Diceros bicornis minor: one gene and its partners. The protein of the gene in region 3 interacts with the protein of the main gene of each other region in a biochemical or structural test. Links are inferred from orthologs where the notes say so. Each region holds a gene or a part of one and is shown on either strand. Other genes may lie near its edges.

Region 1 (7,615 bases), on a different chromosome or scaffold from region 3:
GGTCCTAAAAGTAGCTTAAAGGACCACGGGGTGTGGGCATGATGATAGTGGGGTACTGAGGGGATAGCGCTTTGGGCCCACCACCCTGTCTTTACATAAGAACAGCATTTGTGCAAAAAGATTCCAAACAAACCCTACTATTTGAAAATTCTTTTCAATTCTAAAATTTCATGATTCCAGGATTCTAAAGCAACCTTCCTAGTAAGTAGCACTTTGTTAACCTATAAGCACTTACTGTATGTTCTTAAAATTTTAGATAATTGCATTTCTTAAAGTTATTTATTTTCAAATGTTTCATTAATTTGGATTGAGATCATTCTCATTTGAGAATCTCAATCATTAAAATTTCCCAAAATAATGTCAATGAACACGTAGCTCACTTCTGGTTTTCAGTGACCCGTAAGGTGAGTCCAAGAAGGAAATGTGACGCAATAGTCCTCTTGTCTCCAACTTGGATGGGATACCAGAATCTGAAATTACACTACACTAGAAAAAGCAAACGAATTAGCTATTTTTTTAAACCCTTAAACTTGTTTGTATCAACCATTTCCCCCAATGTACAAATTACAATTCGGGGTCACTTGAATCTATTAAACATAAAAATCTTTTCTAAACATGAAACATCAAGGAACAAACAACAGGAAACTCAGTTGATATTACAGACCTTTTTGCCCAAAAGTCTTACAATAGAATCTTTTCTGTAACTTAAACTCTGAACTTTGTCATTACATTTGATCTTTTTGTTTAAAATGATGCCAATATTATAGTTTCTGATTCTCGGGGGGGGGGGGAACACAAGGAATTTTATAAGATATTGTATAGTTTTATTAATTTGTTAAGACTGTATAATAGTACTCCAAGCAGCTCTCCCAAGATCTCTACAACATTCTAGCACAACTACATAAAAAACTTCAAGGATGGGAAAAATAAGTGTTATTTCTTTTCTTTTTTTTTTTTTTATTGACGTACAATTGACTTGATTTCATTTAGCAGTATGCCAGGTTGATTTTTAACAATGGATCCTCACATATTTATTTGTTCCTCAAATAAGCAATAGTAAGTAAATGGCTATACTTACAGAACTCACAGTCTAATGGTTTATTTACTGAATAGATAGCTGTTAATCTTTCTTCAGCATATCAGAGTGCTTAACAAAAACCAAAACAAATCATCCCAAACCCTTCATCCTTGGGGAGGGGGGAAGAGAAAGGAGTTATGTGCCAAGAACTCTTTTAAAACCTTTAATAACAGGTCATCGACTCACCTATTTTTCAAAACAACCTTACAACTCTATCAGGTTCGTTCTTTCTTTTTTTTTTTTTTGAGGTCAATATCCCTTCTTACAGATTTGGAAATTGAGGTAAAAAGTTAAGTAACTTGCCCAAAGTTACACAGCTAATAATTAGTGAAACAGGGTACAAACAGGCACAATCTGGCTCAAATTTTAGCTCCCAGCCACTACCACTACTATACAGCTTCTTAATCTACCTTTCTCTTTAATATAAGATCACAACTGAAACAAGAGCAGCTATTCAAAAAATCAATCAGGATCATCTTTACGACAATATTAAAGAGCAGCTGAAATTGTAAAAACACTGTGTATTAAGGGGCATAAAATGTACTGCACATGTAAATAAGTGTACATTAAGTATAATTTGACCAGTAACTTTAATATAAATTCTAATAAAAGTATTACACATTCACACTTGTAACACTACATTTTGAAAGACTAGGAAAAGTACAACTAGAAACTTCTTCCATAATAACCTTAAGCCCTGGTTTTAGGACCTGTCTGACTTTGGGGGAATTTGTCTCTTTCTTATCCCCTTCTGTACTCTGCTAGTTAACTACCTGCTTATTTCTGCCCAGTTCCAAAATTCCAAATTTACTGATCACTGGCATCTTCTTTTGTAGTAGTTCAAAGTTTTCAGGAGAATTTTAACTTGCATAGCACAAATCACCTGTGGTGTAAGCCAACTTAAGTGATGAATGTTTTTTTAAATGGAGAAATAAAACATTAGATAGAAAAAGTCATTCTAGGCAGTGAAATAGTAAGGAACAGAAAGACAATGAGAAGTGTAACAATTTGTGATTATTATATTAACTTACAACATGTTATCAATTTATGGTGACATATGGAGGTTTCTAGGCACATGAGCTGAGGAGACAACGGACTAATCAACATCCCGAGTTTAAGATGTTCCACATATTTAACCCTCGTGGCAAAGAGCAAGAACAACAGGGGAAACTGTAGGGCAGAAATGCATAGATATGACATGCATGTGGAATGAGGGAGGGATGTTATGTAGGTTATAAGGATGACACAGTGGCACAGGAAAGGTTTCTGGGCGCGACCAGCTCGTTGCAGTACCAACACGGTTGTGTTTATTTACACTTGTAGCCTGAAAGAAAGCCAGAAAGCTCCAAGTGGACTATGAAGTTAATAACACCGAGGACACAGGAGAGTACACGCAGCTGAACATCTGGACAGGCAGATCGCTGCCTGGGCCCCCGGGGCAGCTGACCAGACCCAGGTTACTCCCCCTCCTACGGTCCTATTTGCGCACAAAGAACCGGCTGCTTTAGGTCAGTCCTCCGCCTCCTTCTACCCTAATTACCATAGCCTTAATTTCGGGATCGCTAAGGCGACAGGATGGGGTCGAGAAGGGAGGGAGGAGCCCGGGGAGGTCGGAGTCTGCGCTGGGGAGGAGGCTGACCTCCCAGCGGAGGCGCCGGCCGGAGCGGCCACAGGAACCCCAGGCCGGCGTCCGCGCATCCGCGGCGGCTTCCGAGCGCGGCGCCTCTTGCCTTCCGCCGCTGCCCCACCACCTCCGCCTCGATCTCCGCCTCGGCCAACACCGCCCCCCCTCAGGCCCCTCACAACGACGCAGCCTGCAGCCGGAGCCTCGCGGCGGAACCCCACCCCGCCTCGCCCTCGGTTTCGTTCGCCCTTCCAGGGGCCTTTCTCCCCTTCTTCCACTCCTGAGCGCCCTGAAGCCCCTACCCCAGAGCTCGGCTTTACTACCTGGATCCGCTTCTTGTGTCGCCTGCGTTCCGCCATGTTGGCCGCTCCGCCCGCTTCCCTCTGACGTGGAGCGAGGAGGGGGCGGTGGAAACCTCGCGAGAGCGCGCCGCGGGCCCGTTATGTAACCTGGCGGCTAGCGCCCGGGACGGGGGCTGCTGCCGAGAGGCTGGGGGCCGCTGGGTCCTGGGGGCCTTGGCGGCGCCTTCTCTGCCCTCTTCGCTCGGCTCCGTTTGTTGCGGTAACTGGAAATCGCTGGGACCAGAAGGATGTTGAGAAGTGGATCAGAGAGCAGGAGGGCTGGAAAGAGTCCTTCGTTCTGAAACCTGACTGAGCATCTGAATCACCTGGGAAGCTACTAAAATACAGATTCCCGGCCCCACCCCCCTCAGGGTTAGTACCTTTGCGGTGGGGTCTTTCCTAGAGGGATTTACTGAGATCTACGGAACTCTAGACGTCCCTAACTGTGGCACTTCCAATATTCTCAACGAGCCTCGCCCACTTCCCACGTGTAAATTCTTTTAACCCCATTTAAAAGATGAGAAAACCGAGATAACTGAGGGGCAGAGATACGAACTGATTTATCTAAGGTCCCACAGTTGGTAAAGGGCAGAGCCGAGATCTGGGCCAATTATCTTTTTCCACACAATGAACCGGGTAGTACGGCTCATCTAAAACAAACTTCGGCTTCTCCATTCCAGTTTTCACATTGCTTCTCCAAACTCACCTTTAGAATCCGAGAGTCCGAGAGAACCCAAGGAAGTACAAGCAACTAGTAAGATGAGTAGGAGAAAGGTTCCAAGAAGTTGGGCGTGAAGAAGACTGCAGGCTACTTCAAGGAATTGCTATTATAACTATTGTTATTTTAGAGCCACCTAGGACAAAGAGAATGGGCTTAAATTGCTAGTAAGTGTTTAGATAGGAAGTCCCATGACTTTATAGAGATTTTAAAGCATTTTTAATTGTGGAAAATACAGAAAAATAAGATGAAGAAAATAGGGCCGGCCCCATGGCTTAGAGGTTAAGTGCTTGCGCTCCGCTGCTGGCGGCCAGGGTTGGGATCCCAGGCGCACACCGACGCACCACCTCTCTGGCCATGCCAAGGCCGCATCCCACATACAGCAACTAGAAGGATGTGCAGCTATGACATACAACTATCAACTGGGGCTTTGGGGGAAAAAATAAATAAATAAAATTAAAGCTGGATAGCTCTTTAAAAAAAAAAAAGATGAAGAAAATAAAATTTTGTAATTCTACCACCCAGAGATGTTATCAGTTTATTGTCTAGTACTTAGTCCTACTTTGTATGTATATGTGTGTATAAATATGTATATATATTTGTATTTATATATTTTCCCCTTACCCAAATTGAGATCATACTGCATATGCTATATGGTAGCCTTTTTTTCACTTAATGCTTATGTCGTAAGCATTATTATATCATTAAAAGACTCTTCAAGTTTTCAATATTATATATGTAACCTAATAGCAATTAAATATGTAATTAAGGCAACTCGTGGCAACTTGATGCCTAATCTTTTATAAAATAAGATAATGAAAGTTCTTTTTGGGGCTATGCAATTCTGCACTCCAGGGACAGGATCAGCAAGCCATTTAGCTCCTTTCCCCTCTATAATCTATAATTAGGGGGTGTCTGGTCAGAAGGAGGGTGAGAAAAAAGTGATAATTCTTACCAATTAACCTAAAACATAATATAGAATATGAAATATCTTTATTTCCTCAGTCCCTCTCCCTGTCCAAAATGATGGATCTGTTTTGTACTGTTTTATTTGGAGAACACTGGATTCTTTTCATAGGAGATCTGGTCAATAAATGAAAATATTATTGCATTTAATAGATACTGCCTGCTAGATGCAAAATGTTAGGCTAGGACTATGATGGGGAACAAAAATCTTTTGTGGACAATGACTCCCTCTCAAGCTCCTGCCCTACCACCTTTTTTCTCAGAAGAGCTTTAATTTACTGTATCCATGTTCTCACTGACAATCACTCCTTAGACTACAACAATTTGGTTTCTACCTCCACTGTTCATTAATAATTCTGGTCAAATCCAATAGCTTCTTTTCAGCTAGCATTTTATTCAGCGTATGACAATATTGACCATTCACTTCTTGATTTATTGTCCTTTGGCATTTATGATATCAGTTCTTCCTTCTGATTTCTCTTTGGTTCCTCTCTCTTTGCCCAGCTCTTGAATGTTCCTGGCCGCCATGCTTTCATGCTCAGCTTCTTCCCTTCTCTTTGCATTATGCAATCTGAGAATTCTCATTCATGCTTTCAGCTTAAATCCAAAATATAGCATAAAAGTTATTTCCAGCTGTCCTCTGAATATCTCCACTGAATGTCCAACTAGAATTACCATTTCCCCAACAAAACCTGCCCCTTTTACTGTATTTTAAAACTGATAACTGCATCATTGTTCACTCAGTCACTCATGCTAGAAATCTTGGAGGTATCCCAACCATGCCTCTCTGCCAGTCACCAATCTGATTGATTCTACAACTGAGATGTTTGGAATTCTTCCCTTCCTCATCATTCCTACTGCCATTGCTTTGATCAGGTCTTTATCATTCCTACCCGAACTATTGTTGCAAGAGCCTGCTAATAGTTGTCCCCAGCTCTACCCTCCCTACACTGCAGACTGTCTTCTACTCCCTTGTTTACTTCCACCCCATGGCTCCCCAATTGTGTACAGCAGCGTTAATGATGGCTGATGTTCACACACATATAAGTCAAGTGTCAAATTTCTCTGTCTTCCTTCCGTTTAATATTTATACAAAAATAGCTCAAACACTCTTCCCAGCACCCCATTTATATCATTGGTGGTGGTTGTGGGGAGTTTCTCCTAGCCACTTCTTGCTCTGATTTTGCTTTGAATTTGCAGTCTCACTCCTGACATTTGACTGTTACTTTCCCGAATGAGGAGCATTTCCCCCTTCTTTTCTTTTGCCAAAGCAAAACTTCACTTTGCCCCTGGGCTCTGTCACTTTTTCTTTCTAGGGCTCCCTCTGAAACCCAGATTCTCCTGCGATACGGAGGAGAGAAATTAAAGTCTTCACTTTTTACTGGATTCCTTAGGGCATATAAATTTAAAAACTCATTACCATGCTCTGCTAAACAAAGGGTTCTTCAATCTGGAGCCCCTCTCTGGAGGACTGATGAATAGGTGGGGACTTGAAAAATTCCGTTTCCTGGGGCCTACCATCCCAGTAAGTGGAAGGGAATAGTAGACAGAAATGTATTCCCATTAATCAGACTTATGCAAACTGGAAACTGGTACATTCAGTTTTTTTTGTTTTAAATAACATTTTTTCTGGGTCCATTTTATTTTATTTATTTATTTATTTTTTGCTGAAGAAGATTCTCCCTGAGCTAACATCTGTTGCCAGTCTTCCTGTTTTTGTATGTGAGCCACAGCCACTGACAGGTGAGTGGTGTGGGTCCATGCCCAGGAACCGAGCCTAGGCTGCTGAAGTGGAGCATGCCAAACTTAACCACTACGCCACCAGGGCTGGCCCCATTTTGTATATTTGTTTATATAAACAAATATATGTGACTAAATCAAAAAGAAAAAATTACAGGGAAGTATAGCAAATCATGGCCCGGCTGTTTTTGGAAATGGTTTTTATAAAAGCATTTAAAAATATGTAGTTAAAGCTGTGATCGCAAAGAAAAATAAATAAATTTAATATAAATGTATTTAATGTAAAATTAAATACAGGATTCCTAATTTTATTTGAAAATTGATTTAATATTTTAAAATGAGTTGATTCTTTAGACTTCCACTCAAGAAATAGCATAAATAAGACAATTGAGTATGTATCATTGAAAAACAAGCATGGATATTTTGTTTTGAAAAAGAAAATTTTTTAGCATGCTAAAATTTTTAGCTTAAAAATATTAAATATTTTTATGTTTAACATAGTATAAAAATCACTTTGTCTTTTTAACTGAAAGGGTAGTTGTTTTGTCATTTCAAACAGAAATGTTAGCAGTATCATTCTCATTCACATACCGGGTACTCAGGGTTTCCTTATCTTTGCCTTGGCGCAGGAACAGTTTCAGTTTTGTGTGATACGGCTATGGAACCATCAGCCCCTGAGGCTGTGAAAGCCTAGTTGAGTTTACCAGAATGGCAAATAATGGCCATGAGTGACTCATGGGCACATGTGAGATTCCTGAGGATTCTAGAAAACTTCCAGAAATAGGGACACTGTTAAAAACTGGGCCTCCTACATATAGTTGAGCAAGTGGGAGTGAGGTACTACTGAGATTTAGATATTATATCAACTGGGCTTTATTTGTACCTATTAAGACAGTGAGACACCAAGATTCTACAGTTAAAACAATAATTTGTCCTCGCCTACTTGGTCTCCAGAGCACACACGTTAGTTATTTTCAACCTGTAAAACAAGCAGATCTTCATGAAATGTCTTCCTGTTGCAAATGAGTAATAAAAATTGCTTCCTCCTCATTCAGATCTTTTTCTTCCATATGACTGTAACTGTGCTAATCGAAAATCCAGATGATGAACTTTAAAAAGTTCATGAATAACCCAGAGGCAATTATGGC
Region 2 (7,575 bases), on a different chromosome or scaffold from region 3:
AAGAAATAATACTTATTAATATGAAAACATCTTCACTATCGCTTAAGACAAGATTTGGTTTCCTCATATTTCTAACATAGATCTTTTTGTTTTTCTCATAGAAAATGCAGTGCTTTAGAGTTCCTGGGACACAGAATGTTAGAGTGTCACATAATTTAAGATCACTTGATAAGAAATACACTATTTAAAGAAAACTTAATGTCCTTGAAAAGCATTTTAACCTCAGAAACAAGAAAGGGGAAAAACACTTCAAAATTTTAATAAAATTAATGGATCAGAAATTCCAATTAATAAGTATTTCAGAATTTAAAAAGCAGGACTGTTATCTTTCTGTCAAAGAAAATACATGTGTGGAATGCAGATACTGCAAGCAGGAGAAGAAATAGAACAGATAAGAAGAAAGCTATAATTGGATTGAATGCCTGGGCATTGTTCACCTCTCCATCAGACTCATTAAAAAATTAGATGGAAGACGTCATTCCTGAATAATACAAAATATGCCTTTCAATTATTTTATGCAAAAAAACATTATTTTCAATAGATGTTATTAAGAATACATCAAAGAGAGAAATGTTTGCAACTCATACTACAGAAATTACGCTGAACTTCTTTATATATAAAGAGCTCCTACAAATCAATAAGAAAAAGACCAAAGGCTCAACTAAAAAAATGAACTAAGGTTATTTATAAACAGATAATGCAAAGAAATGATACAGTGGCTCTTGAATATAAGAAAAGAATGCTCAATCTCAGAGAAATACAAATTAAAACCACACTGGGATATCTTTTTTCACATATCAGATTTGCAAGATCAAAAAGCCTGATAAAATACTGTTGGCAAGGGCGTAGAGAAACAGGGAGTCACACACATTGCTGGCAGGAGTATAAACTGGTAGAACTCCAAAGAAGTGCAATAACGTAGTGACAGCCATCAAAATTACAAGCGCACATCCCCTTTGACCCAACAACTTCACTTCTGGAAATAGTTTCATATACGCAAAATAATGCAGGTACAAGGCCTTTAGCTATAACACTGAAATAGCAGAAGTTTGGAAACAACCTTAGTCCATCAGTAAGAGACAAGGTAAATAACTTGTGACATCCTTACAATGGAATTCTACGCAGCTGGAAAAGAACCAGGAAGTGATCGCCAAGATACATTAAGAAGAGGAATAACCCAGATAGTATTCCACAATTTGCATAGAATATTGTGTATGTGCTGAAATATGCACTCTCTGGAAAGATACATAAGAAAGATACTGGTAACAATGGTTGCCTCTGGGAGGAAACTGGGTAGCCAGAGACAGGCGTGGGAAAGAGATTTTCAAAATGTTTAGCCTTTTGTACCTTTAAACTTTTGAACTATGAGGCTATATTAGTTTTGTTTTTTGTGTGTGTGTGAGAAAGACTGGCTCTGAACTAACATCCAATGCCAATCCTCCTCTTTTTGCTGAGGAAGATTAGCTCTGAGCTAACATCTGTGCCTCTCTTCCTCTATTTTGTATGTGGGACACTGCCCGTGTAGGTCTGCACCCGCGATCTGAACCTGCGAACCCCGGGCCGCCAAAGCAGAGAGCGCGAACTTAACCACTACACCACCAGGCCGGCCCTTAGCTATTTTTTTAAATAAATAAAATTTAAAACTAAGAAACAGAAGTTTAAAAACATATCCCTCATTGGTAAAATGAGTGAAACACAACCCTAAGACTATTGGACTGTTGCCCAATCTAGCATAATACAATATACCCTCCTTATTTGAGTGATCACAACTTCATAACAGGACAGACAAATTTGGAATAAACTCTAGAAACATACATAGCTAAGAGACCCAAAGTAAAGTTAATTCACATTCAGGGACCCTGATAAGACACAGTTTGTTTTATGAGAAAACCAGGACCAGCACAGATGTGCAGAAAAATCTTAAAGTTGCTCGAGTTAACCTAGAAAATGGCAGGCTGTGTATGTTTTGTGCATTTATTTATTTCCTAACTTGAAGGGTAAGAAATCTATGTCCTGTAAGGAGGTATCTCTTGCCGAAGCTCTGCTCCTTCTGCACTGTGTGGGTCAGGCTTGTTATGAGGACACAGTTGCAAACAAAGGCTTTTCTCCACCCTCCATCAGACTGGTAACAGATGACAGGGCTCGTCCTTCAATGAAGGAGCCAGACACTTCCCCTGCCCTTACCGGTGAAGGGCGCTTTTTGGAGAGAGAAACCTGTTGATCAGGCACTTTTCAGAGACCATTCCTGTGTATTCTCTGTACTTCACCTAAAAGTATGACTGTTTTCCACACTGTGCACACCTAGGGGGCGGGGTGATGTACATAATCCACCTATTTGCCTCTTGTCTTCTCATCAGGGAGCAGACAGTAAACCCGACCCTTCAGGGAACGGAAAAACAAATCATTCAGCGCCCAGCTCAGGTGGCTGATGAAGGCGGCGCCGTCTTGAGCGTCTACCTAAGCCGGTCCAGCTAGGCCTGCTGGGGGTGCAAGAACCAATACAAGTTCAAGCACGTTTGCTCGCCTACTTCGGGCGAGCAGGTCAAGCCCTGAGAGTTTTAGAAAGCAAGGGCAGAAGTTTCCGAGCACGCCTGGCACACCTGTAGGTACAGGTGCCGGCGGGTCAGCGACCGCCTCGCATGCGAGGCTGGATACACAGCCGCAGGATGGCAACTGTTTACAGGGCAGTGCGTCTGGAGGAAAGTTGAAGTGTGTCTACCTGTTCGAGAAAGTGGGAGAGGGCTGACACTTCTTCCTCCGCAGTGTCCAGCGTGCACCCCCCACCCCGGGCCCGGGGCGCGCCCTCCGCCTGCCCTCGAGCGTCCCAAGGTCACCTGCCGCTCCGGACGTCCCCATCCACCCCGAGCTCTCACCAGAACAGCAGGTTGGCCCCGACGAAGCCGAGCAGGCTGCGCAGCGGCCTCTTCCAGCTCAGGAGCTCGTCGGCGCGGCAGCCCAGCCACAGCACCGGCTCCCCCAGCAGCCAGGTCACGGCGGCGGCCACCCCGCCGGCGGCCTCCTCCACCTGCCGCCCCGCGCCGGCCGCCACCGCCGCTTCCTCCGGCGCTTCCTCCTCCGGCTCCTCCGGGGGAGCCTGGGGCGGCGGCGGCAGCGGGGGCGCCTGCTCCTCGGCAGCGGGAGCGGCGCATCCTTCCTCGGCGTGCTCCGGGGGCGCCGGGCTCGCCATCTTCAGCGGCGCTTCCAGGCGGGGACGGGCACGCGCGCGGGCGCGCCTGGGTGTCGGCGCCGAGAGGGCGGCGGGTCCCGGCGCGGGGCGCGCACCGCGGGGCGCCAGCGGCTGGGTGCCTTGTGACGTCAGCCCCGGCCGCGGCGGGGGCGCCTCCCGGGGGAAGTGGGTGCGGCCAAGTTCGCGCGGGGGCGGGGCGGGGCGGCCTCCCCGCCGTGGGCGCGCGCTGGGCGGTGTCCCGGGGGAGCGCGGGCCCCCTCGATGGCCTCGCCCGGGACCCAGGGAGTGCGACCCTTTTCCTCTTCCCTTCCAGCTGCGGGGGATGGGGAGGGCGAAGTAGAGGACCGCCGCCCGGTTACTTATTTAAAGAGAGTCAGAGCCACGGGCAAAATCAACTGGACATCTTCGCTTTCTCAAGCCAGGGCCACCCCTCGCCCATCCTGCACCTTGGAGGGCGTGGATTTCAGCAGCAGATTTCAGCCCCCAGCCCCCCGGTCCACTGCCCTGGCAGGGCCAGGCTGCACGACCATAGCAGAGATCTTTAGGACTCTGGGAATAACGTGATGATGTAAATGTTGGACTGAGAAAGGAATTAAAAAACATTTGGGGTCAATTCAGGAGCGTCTGGCCCTCTCCTTTTACAAGTGAGGACACGCCAGGCCGCAGCGAGGGGCGAAGGCGTGTCCTCTCTCCACCCGTGGGCGGTCATCGGGCTCAAAACGCACGGCGGTCGGTGGGAGGTGCAGGTGAGCGGGGAGCTGAGGAGGGGGAACCCCTGCAGAGACCGGACGCTTTGCACGTGTCAGACAAGGTTTGGCAAGCCTTGACTGCAGTTACCTCAGAGCCACTGTGGTCTCGATGTCACAGCAACACTGGGACAGGGCTAAGGCGGCCTTGAGGGGGACACAGGGAATCCTGAGACCTCCCATACCCGGCCTTGCTGGCCCTGGGGCTTCTGGGTGCGTGTGGGGGGAGGGAAGAAGGGAAACTGTTCATGCTCGCTTTCACTATTTGCATTTTTAAAATGTTCTATTCTTTAATCCGCCCTGCCCCGCCTCCCCCCTCCCCTTCCCCCCCCCGCCTCCCCCCCCCCCCCCGTTCTTACTTCTCTCTAGAACAAAATGCCCCTTCCCCCATCCTGAGGGTGCTACCTGTGATGCATCAGGGCATCTTGTATCCTCTTGGGGTTTACTACTGGCAGCCAGCCTGCTTTCACAAGATGAATGGGGCTCATTCCCAGAGCGGTTAAAGCCCCTTGTTTTAAGGGAGCCTCTGGGGAATGTTCTATAATGCTCGTCTGGGTGGTCATTATACATGTGTATACCTCTGTGTATACATATGTAAAAATTCATTGATCTGTACGTTGCAGGTGTGTGCACTTTACTGTATGTCTTCCCTCAAAGGGGTATTTTCCTAGAGTTTTCCCAAAGGTTTGCTGAGCACCTGTGTGTCCAATGCCTTGCTAACCTCTCTGGTTGTGGCTTCCACCCACAGGAAGCTCACAGTCCAAGCAGGGTCCAACTGCCATTGTTATAACTGCTGTGCTGGAGATAATCACTCAGGGCTGAGAGTCCCTCCTCAAATCGTACATCCAACATTAGGGAAGGAGTGGAGGAGGCTTTTGGAATAGATGGCATGTGTCCTGAGTTGTAAGGAGGAGGGAAGTAAAGTGGGGATTGGGGGGAGGTGGCAATAATTTCTTTTGGGAGATGAACATGGGAGAAGTTGTGGAGTTTCAGGTGGAGGCGCAGTTCCTTATGTGTATTTGCAGCAGATCACCAAGGCCTTGGTGGATCCACTAGTGGCAGAAAGTTTGGTTTTTAACCTGAAGGCAATGCAGGCTCTCGGGCATTTCTGATTTGCCTTTGAGGAGAGTCATTCTGACAGCCTGATAGAAAGCGGCCATGGAGGCAATGAAAAAGTCAGGTGGCAACAACTCAGGTATTTTTTTTCCACAAAAGAGAGACTATCTTTTCCCAGGTGTTGGTTCCACCTCTTAGCACTAGAGGAGGAGCTTTTGAAAGATAAATGATGCTATATTGTGTAATCTGGCCTTTGTGTGGCACTGGATACAGCCCAGGGGTTGCGATATTCTAAGATTCGTCACTGGACTCTGTGGCTGGAGGAGAGAAGGCAGGGCAGAAGAGACGAGGAACCAGACATCCCCATTGTCTAAACCAGTGTGGATGTGCTTCCAGAAACATGTTTGCAAGATTCTTCACGTTCTCCTTCTCTCCCGGCATTCTAATTATTGTTGTCAGGATCTGAAAGATGTTGACAACCAAGACACATAAAAGGTAAACTCGAGTTGCTATATGTGGTTTGCAACACATCTTTATTTAATGATAAAGCTCCCTACCCACAGCTATGTGAAATTTTTTCTTTCTCTTTGTTAAAATTACAGTAATCCCCCTTACCTGTGGTTTCGCTTTGTGCGGTTTCAGTTACCTGCAGTCTAAAAATATTAAAGGGAAAATTCTTGAAAGGAACAGTTCATAAGTGTTAAACTGCATGCTCTTCTGAGTAGCGTGATGAAATCTCATGCCATTCAGCTCCGTTCCATGCAGGATGTGAATCATCCCTTTGTTGGATCCCCAACCATCTACATCATCTGCTCCTGACATCCAACCATTGGCATCATCATGGGTCAATGATCCCCCTTCTGACATACGGTCAGAAGGTCAATAGTAGTCTAACACTAGGTCACAATGCCTACATCATTCACTGCACTTTATCTCACCACGTAGGCGTTGTATCATCTCACAGCATCGAAAGAAGAAGGGTGAATACAGTACAATAAAATATTGAGAGAGAGAGACCATATTCGCATAACTTTTATTACAGTATATTGTTATAATTATTCTACTTTATTATTAGTTATTGTTGTTAATCTCTTACTGTGCCTAATTTATAAATTAAACTTTATCATAAGAATGTATGTATTGGGCCGGCCCTGTGGCTCGGCGGTTGGGTGCGCATGCTCCGCTGCTGGTGGCCGGGGTTTGGATCCCGGGCGCGCACTGACGCACCGCTTCTCCGGCCATGCTGAGGCCGCGTCCTACATACAGCAACTAGAAGGATGTGCAACTATGACATACAACTGTCTACTGGGGCTTTGGGGGGAAAATAAATAAATAATTAAAAAAAAAAAGGAATGTATGTATAGAAGATATATATATATATGTATGTATATATATGAATATATATATATATATATATATATATAGGGTTCAGTACTATCTGCAGTTTCAGGCATCCACTGGGGGTCATGGAATGTATCCAACACAGATAAGAGGGGACTCCTGTACTATGGAAAAAATGCTACACAAAACTGGTTTGCATAAAAAGCTGGACTGATTGTTCTAAACTGTCTTTTCCACCTATGACCTCTAATAATTACTGACAAATAATGTTACAGGAGTAGATGCTGGTATAGACACATAAATGGGTGTTACTGGGTGTTCTTTCTTTGTCTAATTATCTTTGTGATGCCTTAAGTGATTTATTCAGTGCTAAGACTACATAAAAATAATGCTAATGATGGTTAAAATAAACCTTGTCCCCTAATTTCAAGAAGATGTCATATTTCTAAATGTGGATAACCTTACTGTTGAAGATTCTCTTCTGAATTTTGCATCTCTGTATATTGGAAACAGAGTGATTAACACTAATGAGCTAGATGATTTGACAATGTATATCCAGGGGAAACAAGGAAACTGGGAGTGTGTCAGAAGAAAAAGAGAAAGAGAGAAAACAGTTGTAGCCACTGAATCTAAGAGACAGTTTAGAAAATAACACAGCTCTGGCAAAGAAAGCCAGAATGCACATAGGAACTCTTAAAAGAGGCCACTCACCTTTCTCTTCCAAAAGTAGCTAGAAAGCTTGTAATAGGAGAGAGAAATAATGAATAATTAATTCCCACTCCAGGAGGCCACACAGGCAACATCAAGCGAAGCCTTATAATGAGAGAGAGATGCCCCAGTATTACTTTTTTTTCCCTAAAATGTTTCATGTTAGAATCCTACTGTAGGTCCATGACTCCTTAAATCAAAAGAGCGATGCAGACATGGTGTTTTTATTAGTCCTGCAATAGATTATATTTGTGCTGATAATTTTATTAAAGCAATTCTACCCTCCTGTTCTTAACCATATCCTCTACTTCTTGCTCCTGACTTTCCCTAATTTTCTTGTCACTGAGCCAAGAGAACCTAGATAGTTCACTCTATGCAGAGAGAAATAGGAGTATCACACAACAGCAACATGGAGGAAATGGGAAGGAAGATTGTGCCTGGATTCCAAGGCCCAGCTCACAGAAGAAACTGGCTATTTCTGTTTTGGGTTGACTATCTGTTGTGCTTATAAGAACTGAAATATCCAAACTAGAATAG
Region 3 (7,788 bases):
CAGCCTCCCGCACTCCCGGACCGGGCCCCCTCCCCCCGCGCCGCCGGCCGCCTGCTCCCTCCTCCTCCTCCTCCTCCCTCCCTCCTCTTCTCTCCCCCCCTCCCTTCGCGGGCGCCGACGCGCAATGCATCAAGGGGCTTGTAGTCCGTCCGCGGGCGGCGGAAAAGGGACCGCATAAGCCTCCGGAACTTCAGTTCCCAGCAAGCCACGGATTGGCGCATGCGCATTAAATCGCTCCCCTCCCCCGGGGAGTGGCGGGGAGATTGGGAGCAGAGTAGAGCGGAAGAACACGCGCAGGCTCCTGGGAAATGTAGGCTGGGCGGGACTAGAGAAGAAGGGGAAGAAGGGATTAAAACTCTCGGCCACCATACTGCCTCATTCTGCGGCTTCTTTCTTCCCCGGGGGACCGCTCCACTTCCGGCTAGACGGAGAAGTGGTTGCTGGGAGATGAAGTTCTCCTGGTGATAATGGCTTCCTCCTCCCAGTCTTCTCTCTCTCGGATTCCACTCCACTGGATCCCACACGCCGGCACAAAGTCTGGCCAAGTGACATGCAACTGAGGACAGAGTCCTTTTACCAACTCCCACACACGAAAATCCCTTCCTTAATCCCAAAGGTTATAACAAACTTGGATGTGTTTCTCTAAAGCAGGTACTTTCAAACTTTCTCCACAGGAACCCACAGTAAAAAACTTTTTATCAGGACCCCCTACACACGTATGTAAAACTGAAGTTTCACGAAACAATACTCCGAGTATTCCATCCATCACAACAAAAGCACCCTATTTATACACAAGGAAAAGCCTAACATCAACAGAATAAACCAAAATCTATTACTATCCCTCCAACCTCTTTCCCCACCAGTGAGGAGTAAAAAACAAAAGGGGGAGGGGAGCAACACAAAGCAAAATCCAGTTCAGCTTGGTGGTTTCCTCTTTATTGATGTGCCTCCTACCTTCCCCCACAATTCAGTCCCTTCCATCCACCACAAAAAAGAAGGTAGTGAAAGGAAAGGATTGTTGGGGTTCTGAGCCCCTTGGGCAGTTAGAAAGGGAAGAGAAACCAAAACAATCACTGGATGTGACAGAGATTGACAATCAAGAAGTCTAAAGCAGAGTGGCAAAGGTGGTAGAGAAGGGGGAAGAAAGGAGAAGGGAGAAGTAGTAGCGGCCATCTCCCCCATTAACCCTCCTGCTAAGACGGGCTGGAGGAGAGCCTCAAACATTAGGAAGGGCAGGTCCTGAATAATGGAGGTGGTGTTTGAGCCTGAAGGAGGAAGAGTAGGTCAAGGAAGGGGGGCCACCTCTCTCTCTGTAGAATGGGACCCCCCACCTCAGGGGCAGCAGCTTCACAGACCGTAGACACTTTCATCACTGTAAGCAATGTATAGAAAGAAGTCTTCTTCATGGTGTTCCTGGGGTAAAAGCAGAAAATTATGGTGCTCAGGCATCTGGGCTTTAGTTACTTGAACCACCCACTGCCCAGACACATTCTTCAAAAACCATTCTTTCTAAACACCCCAAAAACCAGTGCCTTGACTCCTTCCCTCGCTCCAGGCCCTAGTGGCAAGCAGTAGTATCCCTAACAGCAGTCCTGGGCAAAAAGATCTCAGACTGTTCTCCGCTGCCTTGGAATGGGAAGGGGACTGGGGAGAGTCTGGATCAGAATAGTTGCTCCAGCTCACTATTCTCACCCTTCTCTCTACTCCCACTGGCCCGTCCAAACCCCCAATCCAGAGCAATCCGGAAATTTTAAGGCCAAAGATAAAATTGAGAGCTAAACAAACCAGCTAATCCAAGAATTGTTGACCTAAAACGTTCTTCCCCTCAAACTCTTCTAACTCCTCTCAAAAGCCTCCACTACTTCCCGGTCACCATACCTGGTATAGCTGACCCATTGTGGCACTGGTGGGTGGAATGACATTGTTAACAAAGAAAAACAAGGCATCCTCAGCTCGGAGATGAATTCGCTTCCGGATCAAGAAGTAGAACTGACCAACTGCCAAAGATACAAAGTGTGATAAAGTCATAGAGGTCACAAATGCCCTCAAAAGAACAGCTGCTATATGTGGAGCTTCCTCCCACAGAGACTGCAACCCCCCCCACAGGAAGCAAACCTGAGTATTGGGTCAGGTTCCCACCTGTGAGATCAGAAGGCACCAGGTATTTCTTTTTGTCCAAGTCCCCTATCCGAGCTTTGGGAGCCTTTTCTACTATCACCTGACAAAGATGAAAATTAGGAGACATCAGGTATACAGCCTCACAGCTCCACCTGTCAAGAGCTGGAGCAACAATATTCCCAACACCCAAACCTACCCCCGACTCATTTTTCTTTGTCTCTGAACACGCGGTGCAGCCCTGAGTACAGATCCTCACCCCATTGACTGGAACTCACCTAAATATCCAGGATCCCTGAAGAGGGCGTCATAGTAAACAACTATCTTAATCAGATGGGGATGACTAGTCTGGGCTGACTAGAGCTTCAATCTCAAAAATCTAGCTAGCTGGGGGGAACGACCGTGTGAAGCTCAGGCTGTCAAACTCCCTACAGCCTCCCACACAAATCCTAAGATCTCTCTCTCCACCTACATCCCCTCGCCTCTAGCTCTACCGCTACCCGACTCCTTTCACCTCCGGTCCCAGAGACAGCAGTTTCGGCCTCGTTCCCAACCCCGCCACAGCCGGCAGCCCGATGCCCGCGCTGCCCGTCGCGGACCCAAGTCCAGGCTGTGGCGTCAGCGCCAGCGCCCGCGCCCTCGGCCCTGGCTACTGTCCTCACCGGGACCCGGTCCGGGTATTTCTTTCGGATCTTCTCGCCCTCAGAGCGGCGCTTCTCGAACGGATGCTCCTCTTTATACACGAACTTCATCCTCCCGGGAACCGGGCTGGACCGGGCTGGCCTGAGGGAACCCGGGGGGGGGGGCCGGGACGGGGGGCGGCGGCGGCGGCGGCGGCGACGCGCGGGCGGATTCAGCGGAGCGATCCCGAGACTTGCGCCACTTCCCTATTCACCAACCCCGCCCCCGCCCATCAAGGGTCGCCCCGCCTGCTATGTTACGCCACTAGCTCAGTAGCCCTAACGCCGCTAGCGTAGCACCACCTACTGACCGCCCCCCCCTCACGCCGTCAGCGTAATCGCTTTGGAATCAACTTGTCAGCTACGCAGGCTACGTAGCTGTCGTTGAAAGTAACTGAAAACCCATTTCCCAACCTTCCCCCCACGAAGCCGGGAATGAAAAGGGCTAGGAGATGGTAATAATTTGAGACCTGATTCTCCAAACGTTCTTTTCGGAAGTAACGCAGAGGAAAAAAAGAGCAGAGATAATTACAAGGATAGCTATTCACAAAACGTGCTGGTACGCTAAAGGCGGCCGTTGACACCAAAACAAAGTAGTACCCAAGCAGAGGAGGTGGTCTCCGGCAATTACGGACGACAAAAAGGAAATATATATTTGGAGAGACGCACAGAACGCTTAGGTTCCAGGAATGAGTGGACCAATAGGGACTGGAGAGGAGGTCCGAAAGGTAGGGACTACGTCAGCGCGGAAGAACACTTTAAGTATTTGTAACAGAAAAATCATGTGATCTTGGAGAAGGGCGGAGCGTCACGTGGCGGGTGCGAGGAAGTAGAGCCGGCTTCGGAAGGAGGGCGCTGAGGGGTGGAAGCGCCGGGGTGGAGCGGAGAGAGCCGAGGACCCGGGGCAGCTGCCGCCTGGGGGCAGCCCGTGCTTAGCTTGTCCACGTCAGTCCCCCAAGCGAAGCCCGGCCTCTCTCCAGCTATATGCCTGTTCTGGCGTCCAGGTTTCTCCTCCTTTCATACTTCTATGTTATACTGCGCTAAAGCTCAAGTTCCTTCAGGACACGCAGCTGTCCTTTCACTCCCTGCCAGGCCGCCCATCCTGTCACTAAGACCCTTCCCGCCAAAGCATAGATATTGATGTTAACTCTTTCATCCCCGAAAAGCCAGCACCACCTTTCCTCCTACCCTTCTTGGGCCCAACAGCAGTCTCTTTCCCCTCTGCCTAGGGGACAGGGAGGGTGTAAACCATGACCCCTCCCCTCATTTCCCCAAACCCCAGAGAAGGCTCTAGGGCAGCTTTGGTTTCAAAGTTATAATGCATGGTTTAAAAGAGAGGAAAGAAAAAAAAGAGAAAGGTGGTTACAGATCTGAGGGAATCTAGGAAGAAGGGAAAATAGAGTGAAAAGTAAGGGGGGGACAAGTTTGGGGAAAATCCAGTGGCCCAAAATCCCAGTTTCCCACCCACAGCCCAGCCCTTGGAGTGAAGAATTAGTCATTTTTGTACAAGAGTTTTTAAAAAATCAAATCACAACAAAGCTGGCTTGGCTTCTCTTTGAGCCTCCTAGATTACCGAATGTCTCTCACTCTGGCCAGTCCTGTCTCTCCACCACAGACACTGTTTCGGCTCTCCTAGGTCTCGGCTTATGTCCCAGTCTAGGGTTTCCAGGGAGTGCGAACACGAAGTTAGAGTGAGGCTGCTTCAGAGTCTGGCCCATGTGTCCATCCAAACTCCATATGGAGTGCGGGGCTCCCAGGGCAGAGAGGGGTGGGAGGGGCAGACCCTGCCCATGCAGTCCTCACCATTTGACAGGGCATCAGACGGCATCCTGAGGGCTCACCCTCCCTTCCCCCCCACCCCACTCAGGTGGAGGGGGAGCAGCTGTCACCAGAGCCTATGTTGGTGAAGGTTTCGGCTCAGCACAGAACGAACATCAGCGGTGAACCTGGGATGACAATAACTTGCATTGGTAGAGTCCTTATAGTTGATATCCTCACAACACTACTGTAAGGCAGCCTCATTGGAGACGTGGGGCAGAAATGATCACCATTTTCACTGGATGAGACTGAGATTCAGTTTGCCCAAAATTCAATGGCTAAAAGTGATAAGCTTTAGTGTAAGAAGACCTGGGTTCAAATGCTAAGTTCTTAAGGGAAGAGAGATAAGTTAAGTAAAACAGGACAAACTTTTATTCCCTCTTGGGATCCCCCACCTCCTCCTTGCCTCGGAAATCTAAATGTCTAGCTTCCCTTACCTGAGGGCATCCAGCATCGGAAGCAGGTTGAGAAGGGCGGTATCACTGGGGTCACTGAACCAGGATTTGATGGGGATGGCATTGTCTAGGTTGAGTGAAGATACACATGAGAAGAAACAAAGAATTCAAGAGAGACACTGTTTTTTTCTTTTATTTCGGGGTAGGGATCATTCTTTAAATACATACCTCACTGAACCGCACCCTGCCCCCACCGCCCAAACTCAACAACCTAAGTAAAACCTTCCTGATTTATTCTCCAAAATAAAATTAAACTTTAATCACCATATCTCATACTAGTGTGAGACTTTTAGCAAAATTTATTGCCATTGTGTCTCACCTGAAGCAAGTTTGATATGGGAAATCTAATGTATGAAGTGGACATGTGGCAGAGGAGGGATGTCTCATTTAAAAGAGAAACAATTTACATCCTGACCTACAGTAAACCAGGGAATCCCAGCTCTATGCATTCAAAATACCTCCTCAAAACCATTTCCTGGTCCTGCCAGACTCACCACCTTCCCCATACCTGGATGGCTCCTGTAAGCCCCTGGAGAGTTATCCAGGATCACAATGCTGGAGAGGTCACTGTGGACCACAGAGAGGTCCTTGATGTAGCTGCCCAATTCCAAAGTGCAGTGCTGGAAGGCAGGGTGAGCTGGCATCAGAAGGAGACTCGCGCTCTGTGACTGCTCCCCTAATCCCAACAACACCCATGGGCAGCCAACTCTCACAACAGAGATCATACCATACACCTCCCCCTCATGCCCAGAAGGTCCCATTCCAGGGCAAATTGCCTCAAACTCAAATCCTGCCCTGGTGGTCTGCCTCCCAAGCCTAACTCTTAGACCTGGATTCGAGCCCCTTACCTGTCTGTAGTATCTCCTCTTGAGAATGCTTCTGCTATTGTCCAGTTTATCTGCCACAGCAGAGCCATAAATCTCCATGCTTGCTGTGAACACCACCAGCTCATACCACTGGCTCACCTGAAATAGATCGCAGGAAAGAGGTGTCAGAAGAGGTGATCATTCATTTAGACATACAGTTCCCTTTCACTAGGAATCCAGTCTAGTCCTTCAGGCCTTTCAGCAACATCGAATGTCTCTGGGAACACAAAATTCTGAACGCCCCCAAACTCAGAGTCTTAGGCACCATACACCCTTAAGATTCAGAGAGGTGAGAACAAAAGAGCAGGAAGCCTGTGGAAAAATAGAATTACATCAACACAACAAATGAACCCAAACTATCAAAAGCCATTTTCTAATCATCCCACAACCTCCCCTCTCCAAAACTGCCCTTACCCATTTCTCCTCACCCCTTACTTCCTCCAGATCCTCTAAATTCCCAGAGCCCTAAAACCATTCCTTCATCACAGAGCTCCCTTTAGCTGCGCAAACTCACCACTTCTAAGAAGAAATCCACATGGGGCCTCTTATGTACAAAAAACCGGACAGGATGTTTGTCTATTACCACCTGTAGAGGAACGGTGAAAGGCTGGGAGAAGTCCTGAGCACAACACAGGCCTAAAGGACACCCCCTACCCTCCCACTGCCTGCTTCCCCCCTTCAGGCTCACACTGGTGCCAAGAAATGGAGACGGGGACAAGACTCTCTGGGACCAGGAAAGGGAGTCCAGGTCTAAGCAGAATAATGGACATAACCATTTCATCACTTCCCACCACCACACACCTTGAGGATGAAGTCAGGAGGTGTTCCAGGCCGGACTGTGGGCCTCAGGACCCCATCATGATGGGAGTGAATAAGTGTCTCATCCAGATCCAGCACCAGGATCTTCCTCTTCACCTGGCCTGAACCACAACGGGAAGGGATAACACCAACCAACCTCCAGCCCAGACCCTGAACCCTACTACCTCACCTTAAAACAGTCTTCCCAGCCAGCAAACTCACCTAGCCGATTCCGGGACACAGGAGATAAGGGAAGGATATCATATCGAACAGTTTGGTACTGAATTACCTAAGAATAACAAGGGAGAGGATTAGAACTCTTGACAAGGAAATCTTCCTCAGTAACAATGATAGGTAGCGCGTGTTGAACAGTTACCGTATGTTGGGCACCACGTAACTGATTTAGGATTATTTCATTTAATCCTCAAAACAACCCTAATAACAATAATATCATTTCTGTTTTAAAAGCGAAGAAACCGAGGCTTGGAGAGGTTAAATACCTTGCCTAAGGCCATAGAGCTAGGAATTATCTTATTTAGTTGTTTGTCTCCTCAATTAGAATGAAAATTCCATGAGAACATGGATTCTGTCTCCATCATGGTTGTATTCCTAGAACACTGTAGCAGGGATGGTCACAACATTAGAATGGATGAAGTGGTGAAACTGGGATTGTACCCATGCAGTCCCACCCAAGAACCTGCCCTCTTAATCATGATATTATGCTGCTACCCTGAACAAAGAAATGCACTGCCCTCCCCACCTCCACCCCAGGGATTCTTTGTGACAACTCCCATCACCTCCACTTGGGAACTGAGAACCTCAGATTCCTTAGTGGACAGGGAATAGAAGTCAGGAGGGGAGGTCCTTGGGTGCCTAAGGGGAATAGAGGATGAGGGAATCCGGGGGTTGTCAAGTCAGCTAAGTTCCTCTGGCTAGGGGCCACCAGGCCTATTTTAACCAGCCACCTGTCCATTTCTGTCTCTACTAGCCAAGTCACAAGTTGCAGAGAACCTCATCCCTCTGAACAGCCTCCTTATCCTGGTACCCAGGGCAAGG
Region 4 (8,260 bases), on a different chromosome or scaffold from region 3:
TCTGACAAGCAAAATGGTCCAAAGAAATCAGAGACCAGATAAATAAGGCCATGCTTTACTATGTATCATTTTCATTCAGCTATGATCTTTGGACCATTTTCAATAGGATAGCTCTGGCTGAAGTCAATATAAATAAAGATCACCTATAAGACTGCATTAAATATATCCAGCAGTGCCAAGCCACACTATGTCTCTAATGTCATTTCTTGAGAAAAAACCTTGAAAAATAAATGTAAAATTCAACTGAACAAATAAGTTGAAGATGGAACTATAATCACAAGGGAGAATTTGAGTATGCAGAGGAAAATCCCTCCCCTTATTTTATATATCACTTGAAAACTCTCAGGGCCTGAACTATTTCTCTTAAACTTTAGAAATCCATTCAAAGTTTTTATCACTGTATATGCCTCTTCTTTTTCTCTCCCCCTCAAGAAAAGTATGAGCACAAGAACGTCTTTCCAGAGGAAGTCCCACTGAATTCTGTCTTACCATTACAATATTCCAGCTCAATCAGCAGGGTGGTATTGTCCATGAAGTGATTGTAGTAGGCAATGATGTTGTCATGCTGCAGCAGCGCCAGAATAACAATCTCATTCAAGGCATCACGACGTTCCTTCTCTGACAGTCGGGTCAAATCAACTTCCTTCCACACAACCAGTGAGTCATCCTACAACACAGTAATAGAGGTATCGTGCTTTCCTCTTGCTCGGCAGAGAATGAATCCACACCCGGATCTGTAAGCCTAGAAAGAAAACTTCCTAGGTGGGCAGAGAGTGACTCCTTTTATTTTTTCCTTTAAACAAAACATGAACAGACTTTAAAGGTTCTGCATACAGTTGAGTATCATAATTTACTGCAGGACTGGGGCTAGTAAAGCATGAAGATGCTGTTATATTGTTCCTACACTTAACTTGCATGATGTCAATTCCAGGTAAAAATATAGGATGGAGGGAGATCTCAAAGATTCTATTGAGGGACATTATGACAAACTGCTAATCATGATGAGGACTGTAGTAGGGCTAGAATATTAGAGAAATAGAGAACTGGAGAGTGGTTATCTATGGCTGACCATGCTTTCTTGTAAAACAGAGATATTAAACGACTCATTTTATAAATTCAGATTTCTCTAATGATTTTCGTTTATCATTTCTGGATAAGAGTAAGTCATGTCTAAAGGCTCTGAGTTCACTTCCCTCACCCTGCCCCATTCTGCAACTTTGTATCTCCTGTCATGTTTATGTATCACATGTTTTCCTCTATTCATGAAAACTTACCTGCAGTTCCCAATATCCACTCTCTTTTATAATATCTCTAATTCTTTATTGATACAGCTCCCCAGCTCAGGGGCATCCCCACCTAAATAAATCCTTTTGAATGGCTCTGCTAGGCCTTTAAAACTTTTTTGGGAAGATTCTGATAAACCTTCTACTGTACATTTATTCAAGGCAACCATTCCATTAATTTTCAGAGTTCAAACACTGAAATAATATTTGTCCATTATTTTCCATTTATATATACATACAACTTAAATACTATTTGTTTGCTAACAGGGCTAACTTGTCTTCCCATTGAAATAGAAGTTTCTTGAGGGAAAGAGCTGCTTCTAATTAAACTTTTGTAAATTTACAGATCTAATGAACATTTCATGATATGGATAATGCTATGCAGTTTTGGGGAAGTATAATCAAATTTAACTTAAAACAATCTCAGTAATCAAGTTTAACATGATAATAATGGAAAGGCACAGGTAAGGAGAGGTTCTAGTCCAAGATTTACTTCTAATTAAGTGGGCAAGTCACTTTAACATACTTAGTTTCTTTAACTATAAAATAAGAATACCAATACTCATCGCCTGTTTCTCATATTGTGAGTACAAACAAGAAAACAGAATACTAATGGTAACTCTATCGACATACATTAACATTGCATTGGGATACAAAAGAACACTTAGATATTCTCAGGGCCGACCCGTGGCCTACTGGTTAAGTACACAGGCTCCATTGCTGGCGGCCTGCGGTTCGGATCCCTGGCGCGCAGATGCACCGCTTGTCAGGCCATGCTGTGGCGGCGTCCCATATAAAGTAGAGGAAGATGGACACGGATGTTAGCTCAGGGCTAATCTTCCTCACAAAAATAAAATAAAATAAAATAAAAAAAAGATATTCTCTTGCAACTACCCTTCTCCTTCTCCATCTTTCAGCCTTAAAAGTATGCTGTTTTGGAACACATACCAGAACTGTAGATGGATCACTGATGGATGAATCACCTTCAGCAACCCCACCAAGTTCTCATTAAATGCTTAACTGTTCTAATGCTAGAGTTCTAAGACCTTAGTGACCAAACCCAGTTTATGGTTGGTTTTTGGAAGCAGAGTCACCACTACAGGGTTTTAGAACCGTATACATTCTGAACTTGGGGGCCAGTGATCCATGAATCTCTTCAAAGGATGTCTATGTGCAAGAGTGGGTAGAGGGGATTATGCTTACATTAGGTTCTCAAAAGAGTCCTTGTCCCCCTCAAAGGTAAGAACTAATGGCTTAGAATATACTAAAAAGATATTTGCCACGCATAAACACTGCTGGATAAACACCGATGAATAAATCAACACACGACGATCTTCCGAATGATCTTCAAGGACAATCTCCAATTGAGCGTTCATACCGGAACTTGAAGATAGCGGCCAAGACAGCGGAGCTGCTATCCATGTGGGAATTGTGGAGCTATGCCCCTCCTCCCCACCCCGACCTTGGAGAGCTATACAGCACGAGAGGTAGTTTTCACAATACCTCACATTCGTATACCACTTTAATTTACAGTTTGCAAAGTACCTTGGTTCGAGTCTCAAAATAACCTGGAAAAATAGATTATTTTTAAGGTAGTCATCACTAACTCCAATTTACAGATGGGGAAACTAAGGCTTAGGGAAGGTTCAATGACTTGCTCAGTTCCCCAGGTTATACAAAAACGACCAGTTAGTAAAACCAGTGATCTAACGAAATCCTAGCGCAGGTGAGTTGGTGAAGACCTGAGACACACACCCTGCGGGCGCCCAACACTAAATGAGGACGAGGCGCGGACGCGGGAAAGCGGGGCGCTAAAGAGGGGCTCGGCGGCGGGGGCCGGGGGCCGCTACCTCGGTGCGGCGGTACAGCGTGGCCTCCCCGAAGGCGCCGCGGCCCAGGACGCGGATGGGGATGTAGTGCAGCTCCTCCTGCTCCGCCGCGCCGCCGCCCGCTCGCGGCCCCGGACCGGCGCTGGGCCCCGGGCCCGAGTCCCCGCCACCCCCGGACTCGCTCCCAAAGTCCGAGTTGATGGAATCGCAGTGTCGCTCGTACTCGCCCAGCACCGACATGGTGGCGGCCGCGGGACCGGCCTGCGTGTCCCGGGCGGCGCTGGCTGTGCTCAGACCCTGTCGCTTCAGACGCCGACCCGCGGCTCCGTCAGCCCCGCACCCCCGCGAGGCTCCATAGTGGCTCCGTCCCCTGACCCGGAAGCAGTTCTGGGTGCTTCCGGCCCGCCGGGGTTTCCTTTGCCCTCGCTGGCTCGCTTACTTTGTCTCGGGGCCGCGGTTTCTCTCCCTCCGGGCGGGCCCGGAAAGTGAGCCCTGCGGCGGGGTTGGCGGGCGCGGGTGGGGACCGCGTGGAACCGAAGGGCTCAGGCAGAGGCAAAGGCGTCACCCACGGGTCTGTAGACCTTTCCCCCAATTTCTGGCCAGGTCCCCCAGACAGTTTCCAGGTCCCTAGGGTGTCCAGTCTCATCTTGGCTCCAGGTCTATCTCAATAGCAGTGAGTGATTAGGGAAGCAGTCCCTTTCAGTTGGACAGCGCTATTTCTTTAGAGAGAGAGTATAATAAAGATATTATTTCTTGTTGTTAGTGACCTCCAGTCAGTCCCACTCTTAGCGACCCTGTGTACAGCAGAGCAGAACCCTGCCGGGTCTTTTTGCACCATTCTCTGACCTTCCAGCGCTACATCAGACAGTGCTCTCCTGCTGTTCATAGCGTTTTTGTGGCCAATTTTTTCACTCTTTCCTAGTCTGTCTGAGTCTGGAAGCTCTGCTGAAATCCTGTCCACCATGGGTGGCCCTGCTGGTATTTGAAATATTGGTGGCATAGCTTTCAGCATCACAGCAACATGCTGCTGATGAGAACCGACAGACTGGTGGTGTGGTTCCTTTACTGGGAAGCGAACCCTGGCCACAGTGGTGAGAGCTCTAAATCTTAACCACTAAAGGACCAGGGCTAGCTAGGGGAGGGAAGATCGCTCCCATAAGATGCTCCCTGGCCTCAAGTCACTAAGAGAATTGCAATGCAGTGAAAAAACGTGTTCCATCAGTTATGTCACCTTGGGCAACTTCACATCTCCAAGCTTGCTTTTTAATTGTAAAATTAGGGGAATATGACCTACATCACAGGGATAACAGCTAACATTTATTCCGTGTTATGTTCCTGGCACTATACTAAAAGGTTTTCTTTCCATGTATCGTCCCTCTTAATCCTCATATTATTCCCATTCTATAGAAGGAACTGAGATACAGAGAGGTTAACGTAACCTGCTTAATGTTACACAGCTACTAAGGGAAGCCAGGAGTCAAACTTAGCAATCTGGCTCCAGATCTTTTTCACAGAACAGGATGTGTTGGGGCTTAGAGAAGGTCATGTGGCTGGCGGCCAGGGTGTATGTAGGGTAGAAGCAGAAGACGGAGCCACAAATGTTTTATAGAGTTTGGCTTTTCCTGTGAGCAATGGAAAATTATTAGAGATTTTTAAGCAGGGGAGTGTATGATTAGTGTGACTGTATGTCCTGATTTGCTGGGGAAGTCTCCATTTACGCCTTTTTCCCTTAGCATAATTGAGAGCTTTCTTTTGCTTAAGTGCCCAGCTCAGACAATAAATGATATGGTCACCTTACTTAAGACCAAAGTTAAATTTTACAAAGAACTCTGATGACAATGTGGAGGACAAAGACTGGAGGCTGGGAGACCAGTTAGGAGGCAATTTATATTCTAAGAAAAGACGAGGCACTGAGGTACTATCAGTGTGAGTGGAAAGGAGGTCCAGATTTAGGAATCTGTCTGAGGAATATTTAGAACTTTGTGATCAGTTGGAATATGGTTGGTGAGGTAAATGTGCGAGTCCAGGAGACTCACTACGTAGATAGTGATAGCAAATATAGGAGGAAAAGAATTGGTCGAATGGGGTGAGGGGTGTGAAGGAATAAGTTCCCATTCCTCTGACCTCTCTACAGTTTACCAACGTTCCTTTTAAAGGATGATATACTACACTCTGCATAACATTCCACGTCAGGTCTGAATAGGAGAGCACAAGGGGACTCGTCTCCCTTGATCTGGATCCAATATTTCTATTGGTGTGCCAGCCTTCATAATGATGGTCTGCTTATACCAAGCTCGCACTTAACTAAACTTTTTTCACATCCAATCTAATCCGAAGTAATACAGCTGTCCCACCAGATCACATCACTCCTTCTTTTCATCACAATGCTTAATAAAATACTGATGTCTTATTATGTTTACTTTATTGACTCTCTCATTCATCAGAATAAAAGCTCCAGGAGAGCCTGGATTTTACGCTCTAGTTCACACCTACATATCATCAGTACCTGGAAAAGTGCTAGATATTATACGCTTAAAAATTATTTGTTGGGGCCGGCCCCGTGGCTTAGTGGTTAAGTGCGCACGCTCCGCTGCTGGCGGCCCGGGTTCGGATCCCGGGTGCGCACCGAGGCACTGCCTCTCCAGCCATGCTGAGGCCATGTCCCACATACAGCAACTAGAAGGATGTGCAGCTATGACATACAACTATCTACTGGGGCTTTGGGGGGGAAAAATAAATAAATAAAATCTTTAAAAAAAAAATTTGTTGAATGAATATCAGGTCGTTATTATCTCATATATATAACATTTTTTAAACCTCAGTGCAAGACTGACTGACTGATAACCCCTGTTAAACTTTATTTTGTTGGTTTCATTCCAGGGTTCTACATTATACAGATATTTTTGAATTTGCAATTCATTCATTCAACAAACACTGAGTACCAACTTGTGCCAGGTACTGGGTTACAACAGAGAACAAAACATGGTTCCTACTCTCATGGAGCTTACAGTCCATGTTAATAGACAACTAACCAGGCAATTATAACTGTATAACTGCTATTATAAGGAAAGTAAAGATTCTAGAAAGGCATTTAGAAGAGGCATCTTTCCAAGTCAAACTTGCTGGGCTAGTGAAGGCTCCCTGGAGGAATATCCAAAATGTTAAGTTGGTGATGGCTAAATAAAGCAGGGAGATCATTCCAGATAGAGGCCATTCCATCTACCTCCTCCTATTAATCAGAAGGCATTTTGAGAAGAGGTATTCCTTCTTATTTATCTGGGTGCACTCCAGAGTTTAGCTCAGCACATTAAACAAAATACATGTTCAATAAATGTTTTGTTGAGTTAAAAGAATGGAAAAAGTAATTACTTAAAATCAGAAGCTCTGACTTGCATTTAGTAAAGCTGTATAGGTTTCAGCCAAAGCTTAAAAATGCATTCTTTTGGCACCTTTGCAATGAGGAACTAAATAGCTTTCTGTAACTTGGTTAGCCTGATATTGTTAATTGTTCTAGTTATAATGCGTAGATATAAGCTTAACAGACAGATGTCCTGTTCCATCTTAGAGAATATAGAACAGAAACACTCTTGCTCAGTTCTTTATTATACTGGATATAAATGAAACTAAACATCTGACCTTCGAATATTTACAAACCCAGAAACACTCAACATTCTAAACGTCTGATTTTAAAGTGCCTTTGATCAAAAATAGATTATTTCCATGTTATATTTTAACAAGTGAATAGTTAGGATGCTATATAGCAGAAGTTTCCACTTGTGAGTGGCAGATTCCCGGGGGCCACAGAGTTACTATAAAGATTAAAGAATTTACCAAAGTACCAAGCAGCTGTCCAATCTGGTAGCCATAGCTACATATGGCTACTGAACACTTAAATTGTGGCTCATTTGAATGGAGATGTGCTGTAGCTGTAAAATGCACACTGGATTTCAAAGACTTTATATGAAAAAAAGAATGTAAAATATCTCATTAATCATTTTCATATTGACTACATGTTGAAATACTATTTTAGATGTATTAGACTAAATACATTACTAAAATTAATTTCACCTGTTTTTTACTTTTTTTAATGTGGTGCTAGAAAATTTAAAATTACACATGGGGCTCATGTTATGTGGGACACCACTGCAGCACTGAATAAATAATAATTTGCCAAACATGTACTACCATTTAGTAAGAATATGATACTGTTAAAGACTATTAAATTTATGTTTTGTTGAATTCATTATTTATGTTCTCTAAAACATTAGTGAGAAATGACATTTTTTAAAAAAATTATTTATTTATTTATTTCACCCCCCAAAGCCCCAGTAGATAGTTGTATGTCATAGCTGCACATCCTTCTAGTTGCTGTATGTGGGACGCGACCTCAGCATGGCCGGAGAAGCGGTGCGTCGGTGTGCACCCGGGATCCGAACCCGGGCTGCCAGCAGCAGAGCGCGCGCACTTAACCGCTAAGCCACGGGGCCGGCCCAGATATAAGACATTTTTGATGTTAAAATATTTATACTCAAATGTTGGGAACCACTACTTTATAGACTATAGATTCATTGACAAATTTATTATCTGGTTTTTTTGGGAAATGGAGGAGAGGGTAAATAAGAGGCTACCAGTGAATGTGCAAAACACTTCAGGCTGACTGTTGGAAAGGGGCTTTATGAAAAACGTTCAACTGCAACTAAAAGGAAAGGAGAAAATGGCCTTTACCCGCTGGGATAGGGTTTTGCATAGATGTGATGGGCCAAAAAAGCAAATCTTGAGAGGTTCTAAATTGGGAGGGGTATTTTAAGAATGGAGGGCAAGGGAGAAGACCCTCTGCAGGAATAATGCCAATAGCAGTTTCCAAAAGAGAGAAGCTTACAGAGAACGCCTGGCTTACAGAACCCTATTTGGTCTTTCTGAAGATGTATAATTCTTATTATTTTTATATACATATCATATATAATTCACATATTTTATATACAAAATATAATAAACTTTTACTAGCTCACAGAAACTTGATCCATCTAGAGTAAATAACAGACGATATTTTTCCTCTAATTCATCATGCATAATCTGCCATACTTTAAAGCCGAGGAAGGGTGGGCCTCGTGGTGTAGCGGTTAAGTGCGTGTGTTCTGCTGCTGGCGG

The links.
Region 1: the proteins of GABARAP (region 3) and SEC62 interact in a test that uses a peptide from one of them, tested with the Homo sapiens proteins (2 studies listed by BioGRID and IntAct, with this or other methods). The link is inferred for Diceros bicornis minor from reciprocal best matches to the Homo sapiens genes GABARAP and SEC62.
Region 2: the proteins of GABARAP (region 3) and RETREG1 are reported together in a solved structure, tested with the Homo sapiens proteins (2 studies listed by BioGRID, with this or other methods). The link is inferred for Diceros bicornis minor from reciprocal best matches to the Homo sapiens genes GABARAP and RETREG1.
Region 4: the proteins of GABARAP (region 3) and NEK9 form a complex in vitro, tested with the Homo sapiens proteins (2 studies listed by BioGRID and IntAct, with this or other methods). The link is inferred for Diceros bicornis minor from reciprocal best matches to the Homo sapiens genes GABARAP and NEK9.

What each region holds. Positions count from the first base shown.
Region 1 is NC_080754.1:51,870,311-51,877,925, forward strand, and holds the start of SEC62 (translocation protein SEC62), read right to left. Parts: upstream 3,109-7,615; 5' UTR 3,062-3,108; coding exon 3,026-3,061; intron 1-3,025. UniProt on the Homo sapiens protein: Mediates post-translational transport of precursor polypeptides across endoplasmic reticulum (ER). Proposed to act as a targeting receptor for small presecretory proteins containing short and apolar signal peptides.
Region 2 is NC_080759.1:48,282,181-48,289,755, reverse strand, and holds the start of RETREG1 (reticulophagy regulator 1), read right to left. Parts: upstream 3,216-7,575; 5' UTR 3,188-3,215; coding exon 2,874-3,187; intron 1-2,873. UniProt on the Homo sapiens protein: Endoplasmic reticulum (ER)-anchored autophagy regulator which mediates ER delivery into lysosomes through sequestration into autophagosomes.
Region 3 is NC_080757.1:11,040,656-11,048,443, reverse strand, and holds GABARAP (gamma-aminobutyric acid receptor-associated protein), read right to left. Parts: upstream 2,940-7,788; 5' UTR 2,868-2,939; coding exon 2,778-2,867; intron 2,219-2,777; coding exon 2,140-2,218; intron 1,998-2,139; coding exon 1,879-1,997; intron 1,414-1,878; coding exon 1,348-1,413; 3' UTR 915-1,347; downstream 1-914. Other genes in the region: CTDNEP1 (CTD nuclear envelope phosphatase 1), read right to left, coding at 4,681-4,741, 5,051-5,135, 5,577-5,688, 5,917-6,033, 6,449-6,520, 6,736-6,854, 6,955-7,021. UniProt on the Homo sapiens protein: Ubiquitin-like modifier that plays a role in intracellular transport of GABA(A) receptors and its interaction with the cytoskeleton.
Region 4 is NC_080763.1:23,073,357-23,081,616, forward strand, and holds the start of NEK9 (serine/threonine-protein kinase Nek9), read right to left. Parts: upstream 3,484-8,260; 5' UTR 3,353-3,483; coding exon 3,134-3,352; intron 668-3,133; coding exon 490-667; intron 1-489.